3 linked regions of the Alligator mississippiensis genome follow. The protein of the gene in region 2 interacts with the protein of the main gene of each other region in a pairwise test. Links are inferred from orthologs where the notes say so. Each region holds a gene or a part of one and is shown on either strand. Other genes may lie near its edges.

Region 1 (10,022 bases), on a different chromosome or scaffold from region 2:
CCAAGAGTTTTCAAAGATCCACGCTAGTGGCTGGGCTATGATGCTCGCCAGATCCTTGAGTATCCTGGGGTGAAGATTGTCAGGGCCGGCTGACTTGAAGGTATCCAGCTTCTCAAGATGTTCCTTCACAAAGTCAGCATTAATGGAGGGCAGGGGATCACCCTCACCCGGACTTCCCGGCCCTGTAGCAGGCATGGGCGTCCCATGGGGCTGGTGAAAGACCGACGCAAAGTACCTATTTAATAGGTTGGCTTTTTCCTGGGCGTCAGTTGCCCCATCTGGTTCAGCAGGGGTCCAACGTTGCCCCTGCTTTTCCTCCGGCTCCCCACATATCTGAAAAAGGACTTTTTATTGTCCTTGATGCTCAAAGCTAGCTGGAGTTCAGTTGCAGCCTTGGCTTTCCTGGTCTGCTCCCTACAGGACCGGACCAGTGCAGAATAATCCTCCTTGGAGGTGACTCCCATCCTCCATCCTTTGTAGGCCTTTCTTTTTAGCCTCAGGAGGTCTGCTAGGTCCCTGGAGAGCCAGGGGGGCTGCTGTGCCCTCTTGCTGCCTTTCCTCCAAGATGGAATAGACTTAGTTTGTGCATTGAGGATCGCTCCCTTGAGGAGCAACCACTCTTCTTGAACTCCCCTCTCCCTGCGGTCACAGTCCCTTAGGGCCTCACTGACAAGCCTCCTGAGCTTGTCAAAGTCGGCTTTCCTGAAGTCAAGGACTTGCGTGTTGCTGACCGACTTGCCAGCTTTTCGGCGGATGGTGAAGGTGATCAGCTCGTGGTCGCTGTCACCCAGCTTCCCATCGATCACTAGGTCGCCGACTAGGTCCTCCCCAGTAGCCAGCACCAGGTCGAGCAGCGCTTTGCCTCTCGTTGGGCCATAGACTTCTTGAGTCAGGTAGAGGTCATCCACGCACGAGAGGAAGCTCTGCGACCGCTCAGATTTTGCTGAGCGATCCTCCCACGAGGTATCTGGGTAATTGAAGTCACCCATGACAACCATGGTCCTGGAGCAAGCTGCCTCAGCCAGTTCCTGGGCAAACTCCTGGTCTAGCTCAGGACTTTGGGTGGGAGGTCTGTAATAGACTCCCACCATTGTGTCCCCTGTGCCGTGTTCCCCACGGATTTTAACCCAGAGGGTCTCCAGCCGTCCACCCTGGTCGCCAATATCGGCTTGCAGGGACGCGTAGCTTTCCTTAACATAGAGAGCTACACCCCCACCCCTTTTCTCTACACGATCCCTCCTGTACAGGGTATAGCCATCTATCCCCATGGTCCAGTCATGGGTGGAGTCCCACCAGGTCTCCGTGATCCCTATGACATCGTAATTGTTTGCACTGAGCAGGAGAATGAGTTCCTCCTGCTTATTCCCCAAGCTCCTGGCATTTGTGTACAGGCAGGCAAGCGCCCCCTGGGGGGCTCCTTCCTTGCCCACAGATTTTACCAGGGCTGGGGCTGGGGCGGGCTCCCTTGAGTGGCATGATCCGCTGGCTTTGCAAGATTTGCTCAGCGGGCCAGCAGTGGCGGTCGTGCCCCCGTCCCCCAGCGGGCTTAGTTTAAAGCCCGGTGGAGCAGGTCAGCCAGTCTGGCTGAGAAGAGCCTCCTCCCTAGGGGAGAGAGGTGGAGACCATCTCTTCCCAGCAGCTCGCTGCCTCTCTCGCCAAAGAGCGGGCTGTGGTCATGAAAGCCAAAGCCTTCCTGACGACACCAGCGCCGCAGTCTTTGGTTGACCACATAGATCCTCCTGTCCCTTCTCAGCCCATAGCCTGAGACTCGGAGGATCGACGAGAACACCACCTGTGCCCCCAGACCTTTAAGCCCCGCTCCCAAATCCCTGTAGCGCCTCATGACCTGGCTGGGAGTGCTCCGAGCCGTGTCATTGGTGCCCACATGAATAAGGAGCATGGCATAGCGGTCTGTGGGTTTGAGGAGCTTGGGGATCCTCTCCGCAATGTCCCGGATGCGGACCCCTGGGAAGCAGCAGACTTGCCGGGCTAAGGGGTCAGGGTGGCAGATTGGCCTCTCCGTCCCCCTCAGGAGGGAGTCTCCCACAACAAACACCTTACGTTTTGTCTTGGGGAGAGCAGGGGTGGGAGTTGCAGTTGGGCCCATGTTGCCTGTGGGGGCCGGCAACTCAGCAGGCTCTGCTGGGGCAGCAAGAGGTGCATACCTGTTGCTCAGTTGTGGCGGGGGTGGGGCCTTGGTGCGGCGGGCCTTAGGGCCCTTGACCACCTTGGTCCATGCCCCTGGCTGGACACAGCAGGAGGTCCCAGAGGTTTGATTGATATGGAGTGACAGGCTCTTTACCTCAGATGTCTGGTTAGTAAAGTGGAGTGACTGAGGCCTTGAAATCCCCACATCTTGGCACTGTTTTGTGTTTGAGCGTGGTCATGGCAGAGGTGTGTGTGTGTGTGTGCGTGCGTGCGTGCGCACATGTGCGTTGAGATGTTTGGATTGTGTGTTTGTTTGTTAGTGTATGAGATTGGTGTTTGGCTCTGCTGGTGTCTGACTCAGACTGTGGCAAGTAGGAAGCTTACCGCTCCCCGTGGAGAGTAAGAGGTAACCTATGCAAAGAAGAGACTTGATCAACTTTCCCTTATTCAAATCTCTCATTGTTCAATGTAGCAGAGCCAGGGGTAGCCATGACACCCCCTGCCCTGCGATGGCTATGCAACTTTTGCCCCACTCCAGCTCTTTGGGCTATCCTCCCTTTTCTACTTCACCTACTATGCCTTGATGGATCTCCTAATATTTATGGAGGATGCCCAAGGGTCCTAGAGTGAGCTCCAGTCTCTCAACTGTCTATTTCTCCACATGCCCAGCTTGCACCCAATTTACCCCTTTAGCAATAAATCATGGCCCTCCTGGCCTTATGTGCCTTAGGGGTGTGCGGGCGGGGTCAGGCCCCGGGTCCTTTTCATCACTCTGCATGCGGGCTGTGGCCGGTAGCCTGGGCAGGCCGGGTCGGAGAGGGAGGTCGCCGAGCTAGAATTAGGCACAGACACTTAACGGTTGATTTTAAGATTGTTTACTTACACCGAGATGGTCACGGTGCAGGCTGAGAACTTGCTTGAGTTGCGGTTACAACAGAAAACACGAACACACGTGGAGTTTGCAAGGCTCCACGCAGACAGAACTCAAACAATCACGTGGAGCTTGCTAGGCTCCACGCAGACAAAACTCCGGATGTCCAGGACAAACGCACATAAAACTCGTCGGTACGTCTTATAGCAGGCTCCGTTCGAAGACGGGAAGAGGTGGGCGGTGGATCAGGCCACCAAACTCCTCTGAGCAACACACAGGGTTTCTATTACCCTGCCGCACACACCCAGAGTCCCCACGAGATGGATGCGGAGTCCTCTTCGGCTTGGGTGGAAATTGCTCAAGCCTCTTATACGGCTAGCAGGCCAATCACTAGCCGCCACATGTGAATAATTTAGCACTAGCCAATTGCGGGGCACAAATTTGCATACAACGAGCGGGAACTCCTTTGCACCGTGCATTTCTGTGTTGCAAAGGAAATGCACCCTGCAAAGACCGCTGCAAAGTGGCGGGAACTCTCCTTTGCACGCGGGTTCTCTGCGCAGCAGAACTCCTCCGTGCAATGAAGCTGTAAACCCACGGGGATAATTCGAGTGCCGAAGCGCACACAAAAAAAATCAGACCTTTGGGTCATGACAAGGGGCAATAATTGTGGCCCAATAACTGCAGCCCCCACAGTTCCTGCTCTTTACCTCCAGATGTTCTGAGAGCAGCAGATCCAACCAAACAATGTTCTCTCTCCAGCTCCTTACAGCAACTGCTAGCTCTACTGCTCAGGGCCTGCTTTTATTCCCTAGCAGCTAGGCCCTCCTTCCAAACAGGCGGCCTCCCGCTGGCCATGTGACTCTCCTAACTGGGAGTGCAGTCACCCACAGGCTGCTCTGCTACCTACACAGGCCCTTAAAGTGGCAGGCACCAAATGTGCCCTGCCAGGTACATTTTGAAAACTTTTACCATTATTGGCTATACATTGTACAAGGGTTGACATTTTCACACAAATATGATAATTATCGTACACCTGGCAACACTGCTTCTTTGCTTCAGTCACTAGACTTAAACTCCTCTAAGTATCGCCCCTTCTAGCCAGGCGGCTCCTCATCCAGCCACATGACATCTACAAATTGCTGTAATAGTTGAGCGTGTGTAAGGCTGTTTCTACCTTCTCTATCAAAAGCAAAGATATTGTGTACTTAAGACTGGTTGATGGGACAGAACCAATCTCCACTTGACCACCTGACCTCTCTTGTACTTTTTTTTTGTTTTCGTCCTTTCCTGGACTATAAGCCTTTGTAGGCAAAACAACATCGTCCATGTATGAAAAGTATATCATAGCACCGGCACCAGCAGACACAAATTATAGTATAGTCAGTCACAAAAGTTAGGAGTGAGAGAAGTTTTAGTCAAAGGTTTGATTTATTTCCAGACGTAGTGCTGAATTAGGTGCTGGGAATCAAGACACAGAAATGGATATAATTTTCATTTGGTCTAATATAGGGGGAATCTTGTTACACCAGGCAGGATGTGATGGCAGCCTGATCAAAAGAGAGTCCAGTTTATTTCATAGCACTGAAATTTCTTTATATGCAAAAGTGTTCAAAACATAGTTTAAGACCAAGTCAAGCCAATTTCTTTCCCTGCATTTCTTCCCAGCCAGATCTTGCTTCTACCAATTTCAACTTTTCTCCCTTCAGGAACTGTTTTTCCCTCTCCTAATATATCTCATCAAAGCATGTTTTGTTAATGTCTAAGATTTTGGTGTTACCTTTTTTTTTTGCTTGGTATAGCAATACAATACTATACAGACAAGGGCTGAAAAACGTGTTTGCTGTAGCGAATTTTTTGTAGTAACAAATGTTTTGAGATTCACTTAGCTTTGCCCCACCCCGCACTGCACCCTCTCCCTGAATAGGTCCTTGATTTCTCCCCCCACGTCCTCCCTTTTGCTTTGGCCCTTGTGGCCTTTACGTTGCCAGACACCTGTGCAAATCCTTGCTGTGCTGCCATCGTTGCCCCCCTGCCGGTCTGCTTGTTCCTCCTGCATCTCTGCAGTCCTGCTTTGCACTGATCCTGTCCCCCATCCGGCTTGTTATCTGCTCTGCACATGGGCCCCTGGGAGGAGCTTGGGAATATTTTCATTGCGTCAGCATTTGTGAGGCAACAGACTCCAGCGTAACGAGATTCCAAGCGTAAGTGGAAATTTTTGAAGCCCAAACGTAACAAGAGCTGAATATCTAACAGGTTGGAGCAGCTTAGCTGAATCATTTCCAAAGAATTACATTCACGAGGCCTGTTACTGGCAGGTGGCAACGTATCTAGAGACAGGAACAGACACAGCTGATGTACTGACTCCCACAGCAGTGCTTGTGGCAAACGTGTGGCCCAAAAACTGGATTCTTAAATTATCTCAAGACCCATCAATGACCTGCGGGGATCATCTTCCCATGGAGGGCTTGCCCACAACCAGGCATGTGAGCAAAGGAGCTTCCTGTCTTCTCAGCAGCCCCCAGAAATTGACTGTGCGGGGAGCGCTGACTCCCACGCATCCTGCGGCGCTGATCGCCCAGGAAGGCGTTTCTGCGCCCTCGCACATGCTCTTGCCCTGTTCGCCGCCTCTCCCGCCTGGGCCGGGCCCCGGGCACAGCAGGCGTCCGCACGTGCGCAGGGCTTTTTTCTTCCCAAGCAAAAATGGCTGCTGCTCGGGGAGACCGGTGTGCACTCAGTGTCAGGAGGGGCGAGCGCGCGGCGGCGGCGACACACCCCCACAGCGGGCACCTCCGGGCCTAGGCCGGGTTCGGTGCCGCCGCTCCCCACCCCCCACATCCCCGTGCGGCGCGAAGAGCGCTGCGGGGCGGGGCGGGGCCTCGGGGCGGGGCGACACGGCCCCGCCCCGGCCGGATCTGGGGGCGGGGCCGGCCCGAAGCTGCTGGGCTCCACGTTGTAGGCCGGCGCCTGCTCCCAGCCCCATCCCCGTCCCCACGCTTGGGCCGGGCCGGGCCGGGCGGGCGGGCGCGAGAAGATGGCCGGGCCGGGCGGGCTGGCGGCGCGGAGAGGCAGCGCCCGCGGGGTTGTGGTAAATGGAAGCTCCCCCCTCCCCCGCCTCTTCCCGCGGCCCCAGCTTCATGCCGCCGGGCCTGGGCTGCGGGCTGCCCTCACATCCTGCCTCAGCCCTGCCCTGCCCTGCCCTGTCCTGCCTTCATCCAGGCGCTCCCCTCCCCTCCTCCCAGCCCCTGCCCCCGGGGTGCCGCCCTCGTCCTCTGCATCCCCCCCCTTCCTCCCCATTGCCAGCGCTCCCCCATCTCCCCCCCCAACCCCCCGGGACCTGGGGCTCCCCCCCCTTCCCCCCGCACCTCTCCCTGGATAGGTCCTTGATTTCTCCCGCCACGTCCTCCCTCTTGCTTTGGCCTTTGTGCTGCCAGACGTCTGTGCAAAGCCTTGGCCCCCCTGCTTGTTCCTCCTGCATCTCTGCAGTGATCCTGCTTTGCGCTGATCCAGCCCCACATCCGGCTTGTTATCTGCTCTGCTGTATCTTACCCTTCCCGCTCTGTGACCAGCCCTCTGCCAGCTTGTTCTTCCTTCATCAGCCCTGCCCTGCTGTATCCTACCCTTCCCGCTCTGTGATCAGCCCTCTGCCAGCTTGTTCTTCCTTCATCAGCCCTGCCCCATTGCTCTCAAACCTGAGCTCGGTCTCCCTGTCTTTAAACCGAACTCTTTTCTGCTCTGCCCTGCGCTGCGTTTTTCTCCGCCCCATGTTGCATGTGTGTGCCTGGCTGGCTGCTGGAGAAAGAGAAAAACCTCTGGTTTCTAGATTAGTCTGGTGATTACAGCACTGCAGTTTGTGAGTGGTAGAAGCAAACTCAGCAGCGACTAGCAAAGGTGTCACACATTACAAAACTAGTAGTTTCTAAGGAAAAACAAGGCCTCTGTTGAATCGTCTTGAGCATTACCTCTAGGGTCTGTGACAAGGAATGTAGATCCAAATACACAAAATATTCAGGTATTAGCATCCACTGAAGCACCTAAATAAAGGCTAGTCATCCACTTATCTATGGGTTTGGGGCCCAATAATAAAAGCCTACTTTTGAGTTCTTTTCATTTTACCCTTTCTGTGTACTGAAATTGTCTAAAACTACATGTTTTGTAAAGTTCCAGGGATTTATGGGCTTATAACAGCAGACGAAGAAGCTAGGTTTCCAAAGACGTTCTAAGAAACAGCCATTTTTTATCTACACTGTAAAAACACTAGGGAATAGGTTATCATCGTATTCCAGTTGCATTATGGTAGTGTTACCAGCAGTGTCTTAATTAGCTTCCAAAACAATTCTCAGGCCCAGGCATGGGCAAATGGTGCTTCCTGAGTCTGGGGGGGGCACCAGATTGCAGATGGTGGGGGACCCCTAGCAGCCAATCGCCAAGCCAGTGGCAAAACCGGAAGTGCACTGGTTTTGCAGCTGGCACTTCCAAGGGGTGCATGGCCAATCTCAGGGGGTCCACGTGTTGGCATGCAAGAGGCCGGACAGCGGGGGGGAGGGGCCCAATACTTGTGGCAGCGCAGCCCCAGACTCTTCCTTGCTGTCCGACCCATGTTGCGCACACACCTGCCACCAGCAACAACCTGGGCCTGGGCTCTGCAGACCTCAGTAGCTTGCAGACTCCCTGCCACCTGCTGTGAGCAGCCCAAACTCCGTGGCGGGTGGCAGGGGCCTGTCTAGAGTCGGCTGGCTGTGGCAGGCAGCTGGGAGGCTGGAATCTACTGCACCAATGTCTGTGGAGCCCTGGCCTGGCTAATTGCTGGCGGCAGGTGCACACGCACCCAGGGGTAGACAGTGAGGAAGGGGTGGTTCTGCACTGCCACAACAAGGATCAGGTCCCTTGCTTGCACCTGCCACCAGCAACGAGCCAGGGCAGGGCTCTTCAGATCTCAGTGCACTGGCTTGCATCTTCCGACTGGCTCAGGCTCTGGGCAGGACTCTGCCACTTGCCACGGAGTCCAGGCTGCCCATAGCAGGTGGTGAGAAAGCTATAATCCTCTGTGCTGAGGTCTGCAGAGCGCCGGCCCAGCTCGTTGCTGGCAGCAGGTTCACACATGCCTTGGGGCTCAGGGGAGATGCGAGGTACCCGATCCTTGCAGCAGTGCAGCCCCAGCCCATTTCCCACCTGCCAGGCTCTGGCATGCATGCCAGGAGTTGCTAACCCTTGCTCTGGACTATAGCCCAAAAGTCACCATGTTGTAATTGCAAACAATTGCAGCTATAATGCATGGAGGAGCTGTTAATGTACTTTCATTTACAGACTGGGTAGCCGGATGGTAATTGCTGTGATAAGTGCCATTTACAAAGATAACGACGTTGTTACGGTTCTCATATTCTTCTGGAAGATTGCTTGATGCCCCAGCCTACCAGTTTACATGAAAGTGGAACCAGACCTGTGTTGTATACTGCAATGAAATTTAACTGCTGTAAATAAATACTGCCTGTGTGTGTCAGATACAAGGAGAGAGTCCCTATTTTTTGACAGATTACCACTTTCCACTCCCTTCTAAGAGTTCTTTCGGTCCAGTGTGTTTTCATGGCATAATAAGGTATTCCTGTAGTTTTGTTCCAGATGTCCTAAGTGATTACATTCAGACATATCATGCTTTCAGACTGATTGTCATGTAATATATTTCCTCAACAATTTTTATTCCTCAACAATTACTGGCACGCTGTTCCGCATTTGAATACAATACGTGTCATGCTTGAACTTAATTGTTTTACTTACTCTACTATTAATATGTTTTTGAAAAGCATGGCAAACCTTTCTTCAGACTTACATAACTGACAACAACTAAATGAGCTATAGTTTCTTCCTTTAGGTTCTTTCTTTATATATTCTTAATTCACCATTTGTCTAAGAACAAGCATAGAAATCTTTCAGCCCTTCTTTATTGAAAATTACTATGGCCTGAAAAGTAGGGATTCCAGTGGAGATTCTTCAAAATCATGTTATAGTATTTCTTCTTTAATGCTGTAGCTGTGTTTGCATCTAATGAGAAGTAGGGTCACAGATTCACAGAAGTTTAGGGCTGGAAGGGACCTTGTGAGATCAGTTCCAAAGAATTCATTCACAAGGCCTGTTATTGGTAGGTGGCTATGTATCTAAAGAGAAAGGAACAGCTATAGAAGGTTTATTGATTTCCCATTAAAATGGTAATCAGTAGGGATCTTTATAGGATGATACAGTTTGTGTTGTTTCACTGGTAAGAGTGGATTTGGGGAAAGAAACAGAATGGTTGATAGAAGAATTAGAATGCAATACTGACTGTAAAAAGATCTATCGTAACTTCAGTAAAGATTGTTATTTTTAAATCATTTTTGGATCAGTTTTGATTTTTTTTTTTAGTCTGCTCCTAGGCTCCATAACTAGACAAAGCGTCTTGAAGTCGATAAAAAATGTTAAAGTATAAGTCCCCTGTAAATAGATTAATTTAAATTAGAGTTGAAGAAGACTTACAGATAAGTTTTCTGGACCTTTTGCAGTTGTAAAGTTTTTTTGTTTGTTTTTTACTATAACACAACTGTCAGGATGGATGTAACTGCTAGAGCTGTGCAAAGTTTCAGTCCCTGATTTGATTTGGTGGAGATTCAACCCAATTTGGTGGACAAATCTCTGAATCTGAATCAAATCAGAACCCTCCAAATTGATTCAGAAAGATTTGGCAATTTGGACATAGACACAGCTTTAAATGATTTTTCTACATACCTCTAGGTAGCAGGTGGCTCGTGAATGTTGCGATGCTGGGGCGGATAGAGTGTCCCACAAGAGCATGGAGGGTTCCCCAGCATGCTCAGCAGCAGACCTGTAAGTGGATGAGAAGTGCTTCCAGTCCACTTCTGGGGAGTATGCCAGGGGGACCCCCTCACTCTCCCCCGGCTCAATGACTGGTGCCTCCTGGGTCTGGGGGGGGATAACCAGAGTCCCCCCACAGCTGATCGCTGAGCCGGAGGAG
Region 2 (9,881 bases):
AGCATCCTGAATTACATAAATGACTAGTGTGAACAGAAAAAATGCAGTCTGAAGTCTTTCCAAAAAACCCACCCGTATAAACTTGTCCTGTTTCAAGAATTTAAAGGGAGAGAGAATGTTCTTTTAATTCCCACGGATCTTACATGCAATAACAGTTCCACAATTGTATCTACTTGTAACAGATAACAACCAAAAAAAGAACAAAATGGCATGTCCACAATGTGAACTAACACATATAAACTGAATTAATATTGTGAACTTTTGGGTAAGTAAAAGGTTAAACTAAGGAAGCAGAAAAGTACAAAGACTACAATTAGGGAAATAGTAAACTTTTGTCTTAGTAATGAATCTGTGTTCTACTTACACGTGTCCTGGTATTTGTGTCAACTGTTTCATAAACTCCCATGTAAAATTCTGGGTCAAACATATCTTGAACCATGCAGCGGAATTTGACTAAACTGTTTGGCTTCAGGTAATGCAAAGGGACATCATTCAACGATGGAACCTTTAAGAAGCATGAACAAGCTTCAAATTAATATTTAAAAAAGCCTCACATTTTTATACCAGTTGTTCAAGATAAAAATCATGGGTAAAGATAGATACTGCAAAAATACTTCCACATATGTCAATTAATTATGGCACTTCTTGCTATTCACTTACTTGTCTCAAGCACTCAATAAATGCAAGAGCAGTAAGGAATGGACAAGGATGATCGATAAGTCAGCTATTAACTTTAAGATTTTTTGGTCATTTTGCCTCATCTATTGTCTTACCCAAGACTGTTTAAGGAGTTATATTGCTTTCTGAAACTTTTGTAGACACTGCTATAAGTGACAGATAAGATTAATATAAAGAGACAGACAAAATAATTTCCCTATTTTGTTTTGGTTTATTTGAAGCAGTTTGCTTATACAAGTTCACTAACTGGAATGTCAGGTGCACTTTTATGTTGCTGTTTCCTACCCTTTGAAAAAGGGGATCATCCAGAAGTGCAGTAAAACTAGAAGTGTAACTGAAGAGCGTGGAAGGCAAGTTCAGACAGGGACTGGACCAATTTTCGGCAGTGCTGTTATTGGTCACTGTCCTCCTCCCCGCCCATTTTAATGGGGGAATTAAACAAGCCTTTACAAATCCTTTCAATGAATGTTAATGAAATATGCTTTATCAATTTATTTAAATTAACTGGTTTTAAAACAAAATCAAGTTAACATCTCTTTGACTAAATTTTATTTTCAAATGATAGCCTACTGAATCAGGATCACGCCAGTTCATTCTTGCACCCTCTATCTGCTATTACCCATTCAATATAAAATCTCCTCTTTCTTGTGCATTTTAAGACTGACCCCAAAAAAATTAATTGCTAAGTGTCACATTCTTCATCTCATCGAATTTGTCTGGATTCCTTCTGGTCAGCACAAATTTAAAGTTTCACACACTGTCAGATGCACAGAAGACATTTTTCCAAACCCTTACTTTTTTGACAAGGAAAAACACAACTAGGAATACTGTAATAAGCAACATGAAAGAAACACTGCCATCTCACAGCAAAACAAGCAAACATCTTTTCTGGTACTCAAAGCATTCACGCTTTCAAAAGAAACATGTAGGGCATGCTTTGAGGTAACAGAAGCTTATCTGTACAGGAGATGACCATGGGAAAAGATAAGCGCACGGCTTGTCCAGGCAACCAAATCTCCAAATTACTGAAATAACAGTACTGTGCACCTTTCATTCAAGGTCTATTTGATTTTCTGAATCAGTATTAACTGCATTGTCATATTAGGGAAAAATACATTCAATGTGAAATATAGTTACTGGAATTACAATCATATAAAAATGGTAACCACGGACTGAACATCCACACCATAGCATTTGCTTTTTTTTTTTTTTAAAGTAACTGTATCCAACTTAAAGTTTAACTCAGGGGTCCCACACAGCTGTATAAGAGAGGAAAAGAAATATTTTATTCCATCCCAGGTACTAGTAATGCCTAGCAGTTCAGTCAGTTAAAAATGCAATTGGTGATAAAGTTTTAGTTACAAAATGTTTTTTTCCTTGAAACACAAGATTCTTGGTTCTCAATGTGTTTTGAAATTGGAAAAATACTTGTGTTTGTTGTGGTGGTTTTCTTTTTACTGATAAACTGAACATATTTAACTTGAGGGCCAAGAAATCCAGAATTCCATAATACCATTTTTATAGTTATCCTTCAGAGTAGACCAACAATTTTGGAATCAAGCTAACTTTTTCTTGTATATGAAGATCAGATACATGCTAGCTGCCTAATCTTTGAATACAGAATAGGGGCTTAGACTGACATAATATGGTACAGTTTGTAGAAGATTAAAATAAATGATCTCCCTCAACCAAACTAAAATATGAAATTTAACAACTATTTCTCCAATCATTTAAAGCATCAAAAGCTGTAACAGATCATATAACCTGATCAGTTTGAAAGTGCTTAGCCAGAAACTTCTGGTATACACTTATTTATCTCTAATTTTAGACTAGCCAGGGCAGATTTTTATACCTTAATGAATACATTGCAGATGATTGCATTTGTCAGCTACTGCCACCTAGTGGGTCATAGTACAAAGTACACTGAAGTCAACTGCATGAGTTTCAAAAGACTTTGGATCAGGATCTTACACTTTTGATTTTTGGACAGATTTTTCACATTTCAGTGACTTTGCAGGTAAGCCAAAGTAGGGATTTCCAGTGTCTCCAGTGTCTTCTTCAGCCTGGTATCAGCAAGTTCTAAAAGTGAAAAACCTGGCAAACAATAAATCATCATCACTGATGCAAAAGGAAGGAAATTTAAGGAAAGACTCCTAAACAATCTCACCCAGTTAGTAGCATTATTTTCTTTTAGTTTCTCTCTGAAGTATTCAGTTACTTTTTTCTCCCATTCAGGATTTGGACCACTTTGGGCTAGAAAAAAAACCAAAAAAAAGAACTGTATTTAGAAAAGCAACTGGACAGTACTTCGGAGTTTTATGTACCACTCTGAACCGGAGTGAAGTAAACACAGTTTGGCAAGGTAACGACATTTTTATGGGAGACTTGTTCCTGCACACGTGCACATTATGACTATTTTAACACCATGTCTTCCTCCGTCTCTTAACGATAACAGCAAGCACATCACTGCTTAAGTGAGACGAGGCTCAAGAACTCGGGACTACAAATACGCCACAGACCAGCAGGCAAGGAAGGGGCGAATCAGCCACCTTTCTTACTTTCTGTGCACACACGGTCACGTTTTTGGAAAGCTTGTTTCAGCACAAGTGCTTTTCCAGAAAATAAGCCATACATGGATTAATACCAAGTGCAGGATTGGCAAAGCTTTGTCTGTTGGAACCGTAACGAGATCAAAACGCAGAACTGGCAGTGAATGAACTCGGCAAGGGTTTTGCTGCATTTTAAAGGTCCCAAATGCATGAGCAGAGTTGAAGGTTTCATTTTCAAAATCGTTTCTAACATCGTTTGCTTGGCTAGAACAACGTAATAGAAGAGCATTTCTGATTCCAGACAGGAAGATATTTCTGACACCTCTCCCTACTTGCTCGCTGAGCTTACACAAAGCCCAGCTCCTCACGTTGGTTTGGAGCCCGATGCGGACGGGGATCAAACCACGCATACGCGCCTTAAGAAGTCCCTACATCTCTCTCAGACAGCCTCGCTTGCCTTCGCGTCTCCGTGCCATCTACTTCGGAGGTGCAGAAGCCGTGGCTAGCTAGCTGTTCTCACCCCTCTCCTCGGTACACCTCGCAGGGTGTGCGCAGACACACACTTGATGCCCCAAGGTGGGCAGATGCAATAAATGTTACACTTTGAACCCCAAGATCCTAGATGCACGTGCAACTTTAGACCGGAACGTTTTACAAGCACCCTAGAAAAAACACGTATGATTTTGAGCCAGTCGTCCCTGAAGCGGTTCAGTGTTAGGTGTGGACATAAAGCACTCTGTGCCTCGTGTCGGTCAGCCCGCCAGCATCCCAACCCGCACCGCTTGGGATGGAGCGCAGCCAGGACGCCCATCCTGCCCAAAGGTATCCTGCTTGCAGAGATCACAGTCCACAGGTGTTTTGGGGCTCGGGGGGGGGGGGACAGAAACCCTCCACATCAGTGTTGCTTCCCTGCTTGGAAGTGGAAAGGGGGTCTCAGGGTTATTTGAGACCGGTCAAGTCCCTGCCCCGTGTGAAGCGCATCAACCCTTCGGCCCGGCCCACACCGCCCCCCTCACCCGCGCCGAGCACGCGCCGCCCGGGCAGCCTGCGGCGTGAGGCCGACACCGGGAGACATCCCTCACGCCGCCCCGCCCCGCAGCCAGGCCAGGCCAGGCCGGGGAAACTGAGGCACCCCCGCGCTGGCCCCATGGCAGCCGGCACGAGGCCGCCCCGCTCACCGAAGAGGCCCTGCACGAGGCGCAGCGGGCTGTTGAGCCAGTCGGCCACGCACGGCATGTTGCGGGCGGGCGGGAGAGCGGGCGGCAGCACACGGAGCCCCGCGCCGCCGCCAACTTCCTGCCTCCCGCTGCAGCAATGGCGGCGGGGAAGGGCCCCGCCCCGGGCGTGAGGCGCTGAGGCCGGCGCCGCCATCTTGGAGCCGGGCAGCGCTGCGGGCGGAAGGGGCCGTGGGGGCGGTGACGCCCGGGGACGTGGACGTGGACGCGGACGCAGACATGGCGGCCGCCAAACCCCCCGGGCCCGGCGGCACCAACCTGCTCTTCTCCTCCTCCGCCACCGAGTTCAGCTTCGCCGTGCCCTTCCTCCCGGTCAGCCAGGCCCCCGCCGACACCGCCCCCGCCCCCGCCCCGGGGCCCGCCCTGCTCGGCGCGGGTACGTGCGGGAGGGGTCGTGGGGAAGGGGCAGGGGCAGGAGAGTTAGGTAGCTTGATGGGGGAAGGGCAGTGGGGTTAGGGGGCTCGATGGGGGAGGGGCAATGGGGGAGGGGCAGTGGGGTTAGGGGGCTCGATGGGGGAGGGGCAGTGGGGGTGGGGAATCAATGGGGGAGGGGCAGTGGGGTTAGGGGGCTCGATGGGGGAGGGGCAGTGAGGGTTGGGGGATCAATGGGGGAGGGGTAATGGGGGAAGGGAGCTTCCCGGTGGGTAATGCGGGGAGGGGGCTCGGTGGTGTGGGTGGGGGAGAGGCTGATGGGCGCGATGGGGCGGTCGGTGGTGGGGACAGCCTTGGAAGGAAGTTTGGGTCCTGGTAAAGCTGGCTGGTGGAGGAAAGCGAGCAGGTGAGTGAGCACCTGGCCCCCTGTGGGGTTTTGGATGCTCAGTCCCATGTCCCGCACACGGCGCCTTCTGGGGAAGTGGCCGGGGCCTGGCGTAGGTTAGGTGCGGCGACGGCGCGGTGCGTCTGCCCTGGTGCCCGTCGTTGTTTCCTTTGCAGAGGTCCCATTGCCCAGGGTGGGGAGCAGCAGGGGTTTAGTGCCATGGGCACTGCGCAGCGTGCACCATTGGGGTGCACGGCCTAGGGCCTGGGACAAGGCTCGCCCAGCATTACGTGTTTCCCCAGACCCAGCGTGAGCAGTGCTCCTTAGCTGCAGGAGGAGCCTTTCGCAGCTCATTGAAGCCAGGCACCTTGTTTCTCTGATTGGCTTATGCCTCTGATAGCAGGCTTGAAGTTGACAGGCCTGTTTGTTATTAAAGCAGCAGTGGGCTTATGCCTATAAACCGCCCTCAGTTAGGGAGGCAACTAGCTATATAAGAAGAGGTTCTGGGGACAACAGAAGAAAAAACAGGAACTTGAGTTTGCGTCTGTGGTTAATAATGATTGTTGCAAGGAGGGGGACAGCAAGAAGAGCACGCCAGCCAGGGCCCACTGCCCCGCAAACAAGTCCAAGGATCCTGCGGACGCTGCTCAGTGAAACTGCCTGGAGTTGTGGATGGATGAGGGACAGGAAAACAGCGCCGCAGTCTCTGGGGTTCCCCCTGAGCAGAGCCTCCTTCCCTGTCTGATACATGGCTGCTGGCTCTTGACATTGACACAGTCGGGTTGTTCAAGGCTGCTTTAAAAGCTTGGATACTGCTGGGTCCCACTCCCTTTCCCAAATTATGCAGTTACCTACAGCGGGACCAAAAAGTCACTACACAAGTAGCATGCAACTGATAGGCAGACAACTGAAGTTTGTTACAGTGTAAGCAAGAGGCAAAACATTGGGACCTGTGTGGTGCTGTGCAATAAAGTGAATTATGTGCTTACCCTAAGTGCTCAAGTGGTGAACATTGTAGCTTATGTAGTTATGTGACCCTGGATGTTACTTCAGTGCCATGGGCCTTCTTGGCTGATCCTTACTTGTTGGTCCATTGCACCACCTAATCAGAAAAGTCGTGAAAAGACAGTTCTTCTCTTCAGCTTTCCACTTCAAGTTTGCCTAGGTCAATTATTCCATCATCTGCATGCTGTCCTGCCTCAAGTCAATTGCCAAATGTCATACCTACTCGGACTTTTAATTTGACCTTAACTTCGTTCTCTGTGCTAACTTTCTTTTCCATCTCCTATTTTCTGTTCACCAAACCTTAATAGAAAATTCTCTATGAGCTGCAGTTTCTCCTGTGTGTCTTTTAGCTATACATTTGGGATGTTTGAGGAAACAACACTTTTTGTAATATTTTCAGCTACCTGTTTTAATTCTCGTGTAGCTGTTCCCAGCTGGGTACTTTGTGTAGAAGAATAATTAATGGTTCCACTTTAATGTTTCCAGCATGGTATGATGAGCAGTCCTCAGAGGAGTGTCCCATGTCATTCTCTGCCCCTGGAGTCAGAACTTAATCAGTTCATGAATAGGCTATAAACAAGAAAAATAGCATGCTCAGCATGTGCACTTTAATTTCCTTATTAACTTAAGTGCATAAGTGTGATGATGATTTTTTTTTCCTGTAGTCGCGAAGGTGTACTGACAGGTACATGCACAAATAAGCATGCTTAAGTACATCTATTTGAATTTGAAATTCCCAGTTAGTATAACTTCAGGCAGTGCAAAAATCCCTGAAAGTATGGCCAATGAAAACATATCTTTTGCCTCTTTTAATATTCTTTGGGAAATACAAAATGATATTAGTGTAATCCTATAGAGAAATTAAAATACACAGGGGCCAAAAAGTTAAGATTTGGATCCATCAATGCTATGATTCAGCCCATTAAACATTTATTAAGACACTAAAGATAATATTGGATAATCAGGAACTGAATGCATCCTTTTAGTTATTTATTTACTTTTGTATAACAGGTTTGGTTATAATAATTTTAAGTGAGGCTTCCAGTTTTCCCTTTTTGTCAAATAAAAGCATTAGATGAGTAAGAAGATATAAGTACACTGGGTTGGTGAACAGCTGATGTCCTTGACAATGGATTGTCTGAATGAACTGCACATACTTAAAAAAAACCCATGGGCACCTATACACATGCAGCAAGGCTGCTCTGATGCGCTGTAATTATAGTGCATCAGAGCAGAGTCAATTAATTGAGTCTGCTGGAGTGTGGTAATTAATGTGCTCCAGCAGACTCCAGTGTCTTGTGTATTAGCATCCCCGTGCTGAAAAATTGCAGCAAGGGCCCTTTAACTAAAGCTTGTTCAACAAGCTTTAGTTAACGTACCCCACCACCATTTTTCAGTGTGGGGACGCTGATGTGCAAGATGCTCCGAGTGTTTTAATTAGAGTGGCTCTGAGAGCCGCTGTAATTAAAGGGCCCCCCTCTCTCCCCTCCCCACTCCCTGAGCATGTGTATAGACGCCCCATGTTTCTACAGTCCCCATGGCCAGCTCCTTTCTTCTGGGCAATATTTGTTAACTTTGTAGCAGTTACACAAGTTTTTCCCCAAAAGAGCTGGCTATTTTCAAGCCCTAGTAATGCAAATATTTGTTGTAAGTGGATGCTAGGTGAATAAATGATATGCCACACTGTAAATATATCTGGTAATAGGAGTCCATCCCATAGAGCTGATAAAAATTCTTGATCAAAGATGCATTTTGCTTTAGACATTAGTCAGGCATAGATTTCCAGGTACAGTGTATTGAAAACAAAAGGCCTGCTAGCCAGGGTGCATATCACTGCCTGACTCCTGCAGGATGGTTTTAGGGGTATGATGGAATGCTGTACTTGTCAGATTAAGGTTTGGTCCTGCTTGATGCTCTGCCTTTGTGGATCCTTGGACCCCTGCAAAGCTCTGTTGACATCATAGGGATCATCTGCACAGCATGTAGAGCTAGGGGTCATTTTCACATTAAAGGAAGAAGCCTTTCAGTTATTATAAACCATAGTCTTCTGGAATCAAAACCAAAGTGAATTGCCAGATACTATCTGGAAATAAGGTGCCTTCATAAATCTTTTGTCTTTAAAAGCTGGCAGCTTTTGGAGAAGGAAGGATGCTGTCTTTTGCTCAGCTTCAGAAGAGTCTGTATCGGGGCGGGCAATTATTTTGGGCAGAGGGCTGCTTACTTAGTTTTGGCAAGCCATCGAGGGCCACATGACAGGCACCCCAGGACAGATAAATATTTATTTTCTAAATTTTTTAGGGGCCTCACGGGCCGGATGGAGTGGCTTGATGGGCCTCATTTTGCCCACCCCTGGTGTATATCATCCATAGGAGCAGAGTTGAGCACACTAAAATGGTACATTGCTTTGAAATGATTGTTGGGCAGATGGCCTTGGTTAAAGATGTGGTCAGAACTACTGTTAAAAAAGGACTGCAGCATATGAAGAAAAGTCGTTAATACAGTTATATATTACCATTATATGTGAACACAGTTGTTTTTGTGATCAGCCCTTTTTTCTGTTGCTGTCTTACTGTATATCAAATGGCCTTCAAATTTACATTCAAGGTTAGTTTGGCAGGTTTAATATTGGGAAGAACTAGATTTGCAAAATTTCTATCAGAAACTTTTCTTGTGATTTTCAAAGAAAACATTGTTAGCTATGTACTTTCAAACAGCTCTGGAACATAGAATAAAAGTAGTGTTTTTTGCAAATAAAAATTTAGTGGTGTTAGAAATCCTTTCTTGTCTCAGATATCAGTAATTATAATAATCTATATATGACATTAAAGAATTCAAAATATGAGTGGTTCTGCTAATAGAAAGATACATGTAGGAGGTCCTGGGTTTTTAGCCGGATCTGAAGTAATACCTTTATAGCATACATAGTGCTTATCTTGGTAATTATAGCTAAGTTCCTGGTTCCTTTTGGATGGAATGTGAATTATTGAAGCATAGTGTGTCACTTAACTTCCACTGTATTAATAAAGTGCCAGAGGAAAATGGACCATTACAGTTTAACAACTAAGGGCTTTGATCTGTGGATAACTTCGCATAGTTTAATTGAGTAACTCATTAGGATTATACACTGCCTTAAAACCCCAAACCCTGCTGTGCTTGGCATTTATAAAAAAAAGCAATTCGGCCTTCTTTGTACATATCTGAAAAAAATTGACATATGAAGATAGTATTTTCCTTTAACCGAAAAGCATAGTTATATGTTTTTATTAGAGGAGAGATTTACAGTGATTTCCTTTGGTTGCAGATTAATCCATTTATTGTGGATTGCAACTATGTAGATATTTGGGCTGTATTTTTGGCTGTGTTTTAGTGGAAGAGTAACACTATGTTTCCTTTCCAAACTCTGGAGGTCATTTTGACTGCAGGTGCACTTTGGCTAGGGGCAGAAGTTACACACAAACTGGTTTAAGTTGTCAGAGACTCATTTAAACCTGTAACAGAACAGAAGTTTAGTGCACATAAACCAGTTTCAAAATGGCTAAAACTGGTTTAAGATGAACCTGGTTGAATGTAGTATCAGACTTAGCTGATTTAGGTCTAACCAGTTTACGGAATGTCTGTCCCAGACCCCTTCCTGGTTTAAGTTAACTTACATGCCCC
Region 3 (10,155 bases), on a different chromosome or scaffold from region 2:
TTGGGAAAAAAAAGTATTTTTTTAACCTAAATTACTAAGATCATCCTCATGTACTACAGATTCGTCTCATCTTAGTCCATAAGAGCCACTCTTTTAAGATATACTTTAGAATACAATTGCCATGGTACGCTCCTATAGGAAATTAAACAAAAATGATCCATTTCTAAACCAAACAGCTCATCCTCCTCCCCCTCTATCCAGGCCTTAAAAACCTCCAAGAATGCAGCCTCCCCCACGTCCGGGTGACCTGCTGCGGCGCTTCACCGCCCTCCTAGTGAGAAAATTTTCCCCAATGTCCAAAACTCAGTAAGTGGCCGTCGCCCCTGGTCCCCCCCCGTGTCACCGCCGTCAAGCGAGGCTCGGAGACGCCCGGGGTTTCTTCAGAGGCCTTCATGTTGCCATCTGCGCGGCCCACGCTTGCAAATCTACTGCGCGGCCAGGAGCATGCGCACGGCCAGGCCTTTTCTCCCCGGGGTTAAGAAAATAGCGTTTTTGGGAGGGGGAACGGCCCGGGGGTGAATCACTCCCCACCCGGGGACATTTTTGCTCTGGGAGAAAACAAACCACGACTCTCCCAGTCCTCTCCCCGCACCCGCGGCCTCTTCCCCCCGCGCGGCCCTTACACGTCCATGGCGCCCGTGCTGCGTCCCGGGGGCAAGGAGAAGGACGAGGGGGCGGGGCGGGGCGGGGCGGGGCGAAGCGCAGCGCAGCGCAGCGCAGCGCGGGGGCCGCCGGGAAAAAGAACGTCGGAAGCGGCAAAAAAAGGTTACACTTGCATTGGCCGGGAATCGAACCCGGGCCTCCCGCGTGGCAGGCGAGAATTCTACCACTGAACCACCAATGCGGACGCACGCGGTGCGGCTGCCCCGCTCGCTCCTCCCGCGCCGCAACGCCCTGCACGGGCTGCCCTGCACTAATTGTGGGTCCCTTCGGGTCTGCCCTGCAGCACCCTGCTTGTGGGTCCATGCAGGTGTGCCCTGCACCAATTGTGGGTCCATGCAGGTGTGCCCTGCCCTGCTTTGGGGTCCATGAAAGTCTGCCCTGCACCAATTGTGGGTCCATGCAGGTGTGCCCTGCCCTGCCCTGCTTTGGGGTCCATGCAAGTCTGCCCTGCACCAATTGTGGGTCCATGCAGGTGTGCCCTGTCCTGGTTGTGGGTCTGCCCTGCACCGAACACTTTGGTTGTGGGTCTCTGCAGCTTTGCCCTACACTAGGTGCATCTACACATCGCCATACGGGAACGGTGTGACTGCGCTGTGCTTTTGGAAGTACTAAAACATGGTGTGGTAACCGCCTGGACGGTGCCAAATGGGCACCACGTGTTTAAATTTTCTCGCTGTGTCTCCAGAGCAGGGCACCGTAAGCGGGGAGCGCGCCACTACTGCGACGTAGCTAGCGATACGTCGCCGTAGCGTGCCATGCGTCACTATGTCGCCATAGGGTGATGTGCAGGCGCGCCCGCTGCTTTGGTTGCTTCTTGCCCTTTCTCCTGACGGTGAAGGGAGAGGTTTCACCTGCCCACAAAAAGAAAGGCCCACTGCTGGCACAAGGCTTGGCACAGGCAGAAACACCCCAGAATTCACCAGTTTGAGTTGTGTGTGTCCCAGCCAGCTTCGGCTGTGATAATAAAAGGGGAAGAGTGAATCAAATCATTTTTGTCCGTCCAGAAAATGAACTCCGGGCCTTGCACGCACAGCATGTCGCCATCACCTGTGTGAACAACATGATACCTTATAGGAAATCCTCTCCTGGGTGCCATCAGGCATTTCTTCCTAAAGTGCTTTTATGGGTCTCATCAGCTGACACACCAATATTCCACCTTCTTCACCGCCCTCCCACTGGTTATAACCTCAATATATTGTATTACAGTTTGCATCAACCCCGTTTCAACCCAGAGAAAGCGAGCTCCGCTCTTCTCCGGACACAGCTGAGAATTGCTTTGGATACAGCACGCAAAACAACGGCCTTGCCCGTGACCATAGGACAGGCCTGCGCAATACAAGAAACTCCTTGTGTCCTCTGAGTTTAGGGCCATGCTATTACTTGGGATCCAGCAAATAGCCATCGAGCCCTAATGACCCAGGGAGGTGACCCAAAATGGTATCTTCTCTAGAAGAGTCAGCCTCTTTCATCAATGAAAGGACTGAAATATGAACCACCACGGTCATACCCCTGGAACCACCACAGTCGTTGCACAGTGACAGCAATGAACAAACACCCAGATCAACAGACAGACTCCAGAGAGAGCTAGAGTCGCCTTTGTTTGTTCATGTGATTTACTGACCCTGGCACAATATGGCCAAAACCAGCAGAGCAAAGTCCTGCGACAGCTCTGCCGGGTGCTATACGATACCACGTGCACCTGCTTTTTTATGCTTAGCATCTCATTTCTGTCTTCCAACACCAGGTAATTATCTGCATCTTATTTGATATCTTTCCTAGGGCTTCGTTCCTGAGCCCTGCTATGCACTTCAGCCACTGGGCTCTGGAGTTCATGCACAACCAAAATTATCACTGTGCTCCACACAAACTACTTTCCAAAGAGAAGATGCAAAAGTAGTGATTAGCCCAGGTATCTCGGTTTTTAATTTCTGTACTTCTGATTGGACTCAGCGGCTTGGGATGTGTACATTCGAGTATCCATAGGGAATGCAGACATGGAATTTTCTAAATGTGCAACGTATAAACATTTCAAGCATAGGATTGTGATTGTTACCACTAAGGCTCAATGAGAGAGGAGCCTTGGTATTAACTACTGAAAGCAGGGGACATAGTAACTGCTATGGAAAGCAGATCTGCAATGTATCTATTCTTTGTCATGAAAGATGTTTTCTGTATTCAGCATTTTGCATCTTTTTTACATTCAAAATTCATTAAACAATTCTTTTTATAAAACATGTCAGCACTGCTCCACACCAACCCAGCTAACAGTGCATTTCACTGACCAGCAGACCGAGTCTATAGGATGACTTTAGGGCAAAGGTTATGTGAGTCAATTCATTTCTAGCGTTAGGCCTAATACAAAGAGTATATTCCTGCAAATCACTATATAAAGCACTGAAAGGACTGAACATGATTATTAAAAACTCCTGTAATAAAGGAAAAATTAAAAGAAATCGGTAATGCTGTAACTAGTCCCCAAGAAGCAAGTGCGGTTAAGGCACGAATCTCTAATTTTTTGGAACAACGAAATGTAGTAAAATAAAGTTCAATGTTTCTTTGCAGTTGAATGTGCCATATTCCCCTCCAGAGCACCCCAGTATGTGTGGTACATCAGCTTGGAAAAGAAAAAGATCAGAAATGGGACTGTGCTCCATTCCCTGTCCCCAGGAGAAATGATCTGAAGTACATAGTGCCATTTCATCAGGGGCTTCATAGAAGCAAGTAAAAAAGCAAAATGATAAAGCAGAAAGTGGGAGGAAATTAAAAACGGGAAAAAAGAGAAAGAAGCATTTATTTGAGGCCCATTTTACAATCCTTAATTGGCACAAAGGTACTATTACTCTCTAGCTCAAAATCACCCTGTTAAAATATCCTGCTGCCTTGTTTACTGCTATCCCCATACCTGGAACGTCTGTTCTGATTTCCAGTTTAATTTCTGTTATTCACACTTTCCATGCTGTTCATCACTAGCAAAAGGACTGTAACTGTGACGTTCCATTCAGAACAGTAGAAAAGAATTAACCATCTCCTGTAGGCAGGTAAGTAAATACATTCAGCAAATTCCCCCAAATAATCATTGCTGTGAGCATCTAGACGCCAGTGGTGGAAAGGAGATGAAGTGGTGGGACTGAGACAAGAAGGGTTGAGTGGATGGAGAGGACAAGCCACAGGTAAGGAGAAAAAGACTTCAAATGGGAACAAGGGACATGGCAAGAGAAAGACAATACAAGAAATGCAGGGGGTAAAGAAATGATTGCAGGGGGGGAGATACAGGGAGTGGAGAAATGATTGCACATGTTCTGCTGGGGATTTTGATGACAAATTCACCTGAAATTTAATTTGTACCATTCCTAGAGCTCCTCAAAGGCCTGGATACTGAAGACTGGAATAAGTAGTGCACTGTAATATAGTTAACAAACAGTGTGAATAATAATAATAATAAAAGTAATAGCAACAAAAGTAAAAAAAATACATCATTAGGAGTGTGGAAGAAGGAAAAAGCATTTCCTTGCTGGGGAGTGACTGAGTATTTAGAGCCAAGGAACAAATGCTGGGTTGGGGTCTGTTTTCTGGGATCTCCCCTACCTGTATCGTTGTTCAGTCCTTGGAGTTGGATCAGTTGACGAAGGGATTTTATTAAAATAGTGGCTCCCTGCAATAACAGGGACTAGACTCAACAACCCAGAAGGTCCCATCTAGTCCATTATGAATTAGCTAGCAGTGAATCAACAACCAGTGTATCAACCTGCACAATGAGGAACTTGAAAAGGCTATTCTGTTCTGCCACAATCAGTCTACAAAAGTTGAAAGCTAACAAGAGTCACTCGTTGATAACGACTCCCTCAACTGGCGAAAATGTAAAAGCCCACAGCTACTGTGGCAATATCCCCCCAAAATAGGTTTTACACATGCAGAGGTGGAAACAGGAAAGACTCATGGGGAATCCTGCAGGCCAGATGACACAGTGCCAGGGGCTGCATGTGGTCTGCAAACTGGGGGTTGAGCACCCCGCTCTAATCCAATGTTTCTCAACCCGTGGGTTGCGGCCCAAAAGTGGGTCGCAAGAATATATGAAAGGATTGCAAGTGGATTATCCTTTAAAGGAGAAAAACATGGGAAACCATGGCTTTTCCCTTGCGCCAGTTCCAGCCTGCAAGGGGCTGCCTGAGGTCCCTCCAAGCCCCACACACACCCACCCCTTGCCCCACACATTGGGGGGCTAGGGCCTGGGGGTGAGGGGCACTGGGTCAGGACTGGCTATCGATGTGACAAATGGGCTCTGGTACAAAAAAGGTTGAGAGCCGCTGTTCTAATCCATGGGTGACTGGTGCCTCCCGAGTCTGGGAGGGCACCAGATCCCCCAGCGGGCGATCACCGAACCAGCAGCAAAACCGGCGAAACTGGAAGTGCACTTCTGCCGGCACTTCGGGTTTCGCGGCTGGCGCCAAGGGGGTGCATGGCTGATCTCTGCACCCGTGTGCACCCGCTACGCGTCACCAATGTTCTTGTAATCCATCCCAACCTCCTAGCAGTGGTACGTGATGGGGAAAAGTCGAGGATCAACTCCTATTGACTCCCAGCATAGTTTTCTGCATGGCTTACAGAGGTGTGTTTCAAGTTGAGACAATATTTTGAACTCCAGAGGTTTTAAACAGCTACTAAATAATAAGTTGAGCTTTTGAATTCAGATGCACATAGGCAAACTCTCGTTTCCCAGAACAATACACTCCAGGCATGGAGGTTTTCTCCAACAGAAAACATTAGGGAGTCTCTCCCCTCCATCCCATTCTCTCCTTCTGCCCCCATAATGTATGCTCTTTGCAAGCTAAATAGGCTCAGGGGGCTTATATGCTCTGAGCTCAGACCATCTGAATAAATCATTATAATTTGCTAGCATTGCAATATTGGAGCACAGCAGGACCGGACAGGGTGGGACTAGATGTGGGAGGGAACTCCAGGGAAATTCCAGATCTGTTCAGCCCCCCCCTGTGGAGGCGGGGCTATGACATCAGCTGGCTGTGCCTAAAAGCAGCCCTCTGAGCCAGACCCAGCAGAGATCAGCCAGTGCTTCCCTGCATGCAGGTGAGTTAAGCTGAACCCAGCTGGGACGCGAACCAGAGGGGGCTGGAGTGCACTTTCCGACCCTCTGCGCTCACATTTCAGGTTGCAGGAGACCTCGCTGCGTTGCCAATATACAGTGCAACGCAACTGCTTTGCCTCTTGTGCAATAAATCCTGTCCTGCTGGAGCTGATGATGGATGATTAATCATGTTTTCTTTACCCCCGGGCAGGATTTTTGCAAACAGCGGGTTGTACAAAGCGGTGGGGTGGCGGTACTTTCTTGCGGGGCGGTCTGGAGCGGTTTGGCCAAAGCTGTGGGGTGGCGGTACTTTCCTGCGGGGCGGTCTGGAGCGGTTTGTCCAAAAGGTGCACGCTGAACTGCCTGTCTGAGAGGGGAAAACATCTGTGCTGTGTTCTTCTTGCAGACTGCACAAGTTGCTGAAGTCTCCAGAGGAAACAGGCAGCCTTCAGACATGACGGCTGAGGTGAGTGTGAGCTTTGATTTCTTAGTAGTAGTTGTCACCCACTCTCCTGTGCTTAGGATGGGAGCTGCTCCAGCTGCAAACTAAACTCTTGAGAAGCTTGATTAAAAATATCAGAGAGCAACATTTTATCAGAGCTCTTTTTCACATGAGATCACTTATTTTAGGTGAAGATCACTTTGCAGTTAAGTACTATTTAGACAGCTACTTGTACAACCACTCACCAGCAGTATCTGTCTGTACCAAGGCTGCATTTTCAGTATCTGCCCCAAACTAGCAGCCTCTGAACCAAACTGGTCTGCCTCCTCTCCCATCTAATGCTACTGCATTTTGACAAGCATCCTCCACCTCTTCTACCCTCATCGCTGCCCTGATTAGTTTGACAGGTAGCAATTTCAACTGAGAGACAAGTCCCCACAAAACTTATGGTGAAATACTGTGACTGCCAAAAGTTAAATGAGAGAGTCTGGGAAAAAAAAGTCTAGTTATGAACATACTATCAGTTGCAAGGTGAGCTTGGTTACCTCAATTTTCCATGTCTGAATTCAGGGTGAGAAAATCCCAAATAAATGTAACTGCGAATCTGTCCATTTTCCACCTCTTTACCTAGGTTTGGTCACTCATTTTTAGCATTGTTCCTGTGGGTCACTCATTTTTAGCATTGTTCCTGTGAACCAGCAGAGGAAACTAATAGAAGGGCAATGTCTAATCAGTATTGTAGCTGAGGCCCTGCAAAATTTGACTGTGGACAAAGTTAGAATTAAAAATGGGCATATGCTTAAAACAGCCCTGAAATCAAATCTTTAAACACAAAGGGCCTAATTTTATGGTTCTAAAAAGGCAAATTTCACAAGGATGTACTTTTCTTTACAGGGACACAATGATAGGGCCCATAAAAGATATTGGTTCAGCAGGAATTGGTTTAATAGGTGGAGACAGTCTCTGGGGGGAAAGTTTCCCAGAGTTACTCACCAGTAACCCCTTTAGCTGATAAAATAATGGTACTGATTATCTTGAGACAGGGTCCTATCCAGTCAGCTGCCATGGAGGGTGGTTTGGATGTGAAAAGGGAGAGGCAGAAATGTGTAAGATATAAGGCAGATGGGCCAAAGTATCCACATTGCAATTCAGGCTCTGCGGCAGGAAGTTTCCGTAAATGCTCCCCAAATGCTTCTCTTTGCCTGCTAGTATCTGCTCTGGAAATTTGCTTTTAAAATCCATTTGGATCAATCCTGGAGTCCATACATAAGCAGAGCTCCCATTTGAGTCCAGTGGAAATTTGGCCTGAGTAAGGGCTTCAGCATCGGGCGCTGGTCAGACCGCAGTTGGAGTACTGCGTGCAATTCTGGGCACCGCACTTCAAGAGGGATGTGGATAACCTGGAGAGGGTCCAGAGAAGGGCCACCCGTATGGTTAAGGGCTTGCAGACCAAGCCCTACGAGGAGAGACTAGCTAAACTGGACCTTTTCAGCCTCCGCAAGAGAAGGTTGAGAGGCGACCTTGTGGCTGCCTTTAAGTTCATCACGGGGGCACAGAAGGGAATTGGTGAGTATTTATTCACCAAGGCGCCCCGGGGGTTACAAGAAACAATGGCCACAAGCTAGCAGAGAGCAGATTGAGATTGGACATTAGGAAGAACTTCTTCACGGTTTGAGTGGCCAAGGTCTGGAACGGGCTCCCAAGGGAGGTGGTGCTCTCCCCTACCCTGGGGGTCTTCAAGAGGAGGTTAGACGAGTATCTAGCTGGGGTCATCTAGACCCAGCACTCTTTCCTGCCTATGCAGGGGGTCGGACTCGAAGATCTATTGAGGTCCCTTCTGACCCTAACATCTATGAATCTATGTGTCCCACTTGGGTAAGCAAGTGACTTGTGACCAAACAACACATCTTCTTGGCTGCTGAAGCAGATGCTTGTACAAATCCAGGGTGAGATGGGCCTTGCATTTTGACTAGCTTGAAGGGTGACTTAGATTCAGAGAATCATAGAAAATTAGCATTAGAAGGGACCTCAGGAGGTCACATCTAGTCCAACCCCCTGCTCAAAACAAGATCATCCCCACCTCGATCATCCCAGCCAGGGCTTTGTTCAGCCGGGTCTTAGGAACCTCCAAGGATGGAGCTTCCACCACCTCTCTGGGTAACCCGGTCCAGGGTTTTACTACCGTCCTAGTGAGAAAGTTCTTCCTAATATCTAACCTAAACTTCCCTTCCTTCCGAGGCACCCTTCTAAAACAAACACCACAAGGCCACACACAAATAATGAATATACTAGATGAATGGATGTGTAAAAAAACCCTTCAAAATTGCAGAGCCTGAGACATTTTATAGCTGTTTTGTCTTCCCAAGGTATGGCTGATAAAAAACCAAGGAGGAAACTCTCATTTGTGTTTGTGTAACAGTGTCCTTTTAAACTACTTACTGAAAACATTATGCTATTAGACCTATCGTGTCAGAGCTGCTGGCTTGGAAGCTGGAGATGCTAAGACTCCACTGAGTCAAGGTCAGGACTGATGTTCACATTATTATTTTTTGTATTGTGGCATCACCCTGGAGCCCTCATTTTCCCAGAAGGAAAAGGCTGGTCCTTAACTCAAAGAGCTTACAGAGGACCGGACCCACTGGCTGATAGGGGATGATGTAGGGGGGAAGCCCAAGGAAATGAGACAGGGAATGGCCTCAGTACATGGGCAGCCCAACGGTTATGCTTCTTTGCAGGCTATTGCAGATTACCAGCTGCGTAAGGGAGTGTAGCTCGTTCAATGTGGGAAGAGAAAGAGGGTCAATGCTGCCAACAGGAGCTTGTAAATTTGTAAATGTAAAGCACTCATCTTATTCTGATCCCTCTAGAGGTCAGTTCCAGCACTATTTACACCACTTCCAAATCCAGCCTGTTGACTTAGTCCAGATCCTTTGGCAGGGGTGCAGCATTTGCTTACACCAGGTCTGAATTTGATCCCATATGCTCTGTTATATGCTAACGCTGCAGAGTGGCAGGGGACTGTCCCACCGTCCTGTTTTTAAAATCAGCGCTAATCTGAAGGATTGTGTTTCTTTGGGTGTCCAAAATGATTGATCTGTCTGCTTTCTTTTCCCACTTCCTTTTGCACAGGGGGATAAACTTTGGGGGGGAAGATTTGTAGGAGGCCTGGATCCCATCATGGAGAGGCTCAACTCTTCCATTGATTATGACCAGAGATTGTCAGAAGTTGACATCCAAGGGAGCATGGCTTATGCCAAGGCCTTGGAAAAGACTGGAATTCTAACCAAACCTGAGGTGGAGAAGATCCTGAATGGACTGGAAAAGGTATTTATCAGCTGAAGTAGATGGTATGATGCAAGGGTGCCAAGCATAAGGACAAGTACAGATACAGGAAACTTTAGCCACTGCTATTGAGATAACAGTGCTGTTATCCCCAACTTGTTTCTGGAGTGCTCTGTAAATGAGTAGTGCCAAATGCACTCTCAGAGTCTCACATATGTGTGGCATGGCAGGAGTCGTAGTGATGTCTTTCAGCTGCAGTGATCTGGTTTTCTCCTACTATTGTGTAACTCCAACAAAATCTCACCAGTGTGAGATCAGACTTGGAGGGAGAAGGGGACAGTTCTAGCTCCAGGGTGACCAAAGTGTTTTACAAACTTATAGGAATTGAGCCTCCCAAGAGCCACCTAAAGTGGGGAAATAATAATCCCTGACCGCTGTCTTTTGCTGACATTTGTAGATCTCTGAGGAATGGTCCAAAGGACTCTTTGTGCTGAACCCAAATGATGAGGATATCCACACTGCCAACGAGCGCAGACTGAAGGTGCAGTTCAGTTAATTTCTTCATAACTTCCTGTGCACATCTCTGATCATTCTGGGAACTGTAACATTCGCTTCTCCCTTTGCATGCTTGAACTGTTTCCTATTTTTGGTTGTGTTCCTATTGAGAGAATCAAATACTTCTGCAGTG

What was found.
Region 1: the proteins of MCMBP (region 2) and PRTFDC1 interact in binary tests that used the Homo sapiens proteins (3 or more experiments, as listed by UniProt). The two-hybrid records come from large-scale screens. The link is inferred for Alligator mississippiensis from reciprocal best matches to the Homo sapiens genes MCMBP and PRTFDC1.
Region 3: the proteins of MCMBP (region 2) and ASL interact in binary tests that used the Homo sapiens proteins (3 or more experiments, as listed by UniProt). The two-hybrid records come from large-scale screens. The link is inferred for Alligator mississippiensis from reciprocal best matches to the Homo sapiens genes MCMBP and ASL.

What each region holds. Positions count from the first base shown.
Region 1 is NC_081828.1:187,830,501-187,840,522, reverse strand, and holds the start of PRTFDC1 (phosphoribosyltransferase domain-containing protein 1), read left to right. Parts: upstream 1-5,942; 5' UTR 5,943-6,053; coding exon 6,054-6,107; intron 6,108-10,022. UniProt on the Homo sapiens protein: Has low, barely detectable phosphoribosyltransferase activity (in vitro). Binds GMP, IMP and alpha-D-5-phosphoribosyl 1-pyrophosphate (PRPP). Is not expected to contribute to purine metabolism or GMP salvage.
Region 2 is NC_081829.1:87,093,871-87,103,751, reverse strand, and holds the start of MCMBP (mini-chromosome maintenance complex-binding protein), read right to left. Parts: upstream 4,551-9,881; 5' UTR 4,464-4,550; coding exon 4,406-4,463; intron 2,932-4,405; coding exon 2,846-2,931; intron 2,757-2,845; exon of another isoform or gene 2,650-2,756; intron 506-2,649; coding exon 365-505; intron 1-364. Other genes in the region: SEC23IP (SEC23-interacting protein), read left to right, coding at 4,682-4,838. UniProt on the Homo sapiens protein: Associated component of the MCM complex that acts as a regulator of DNA replication.
Region 3 is NC_081837.1:10,092,967-10,103,121, forward strand, and holds the start of ASL (argininosuccinate lyase), read left to right. Parts: upstream 1-5,653; 5' UTR 5,654-5,739; coding exon 5,740-5,745; intron 5,746-5,761; exon of another isoform or gene 5,762-5,826; intron 5,827-6,149; coding exon 6,150-6,209; intron 6,210-9,314; coding exon 9,315-9,509; intron 9,510-9,924; coding exon 9,925-10,008; intron 10,009-10,155.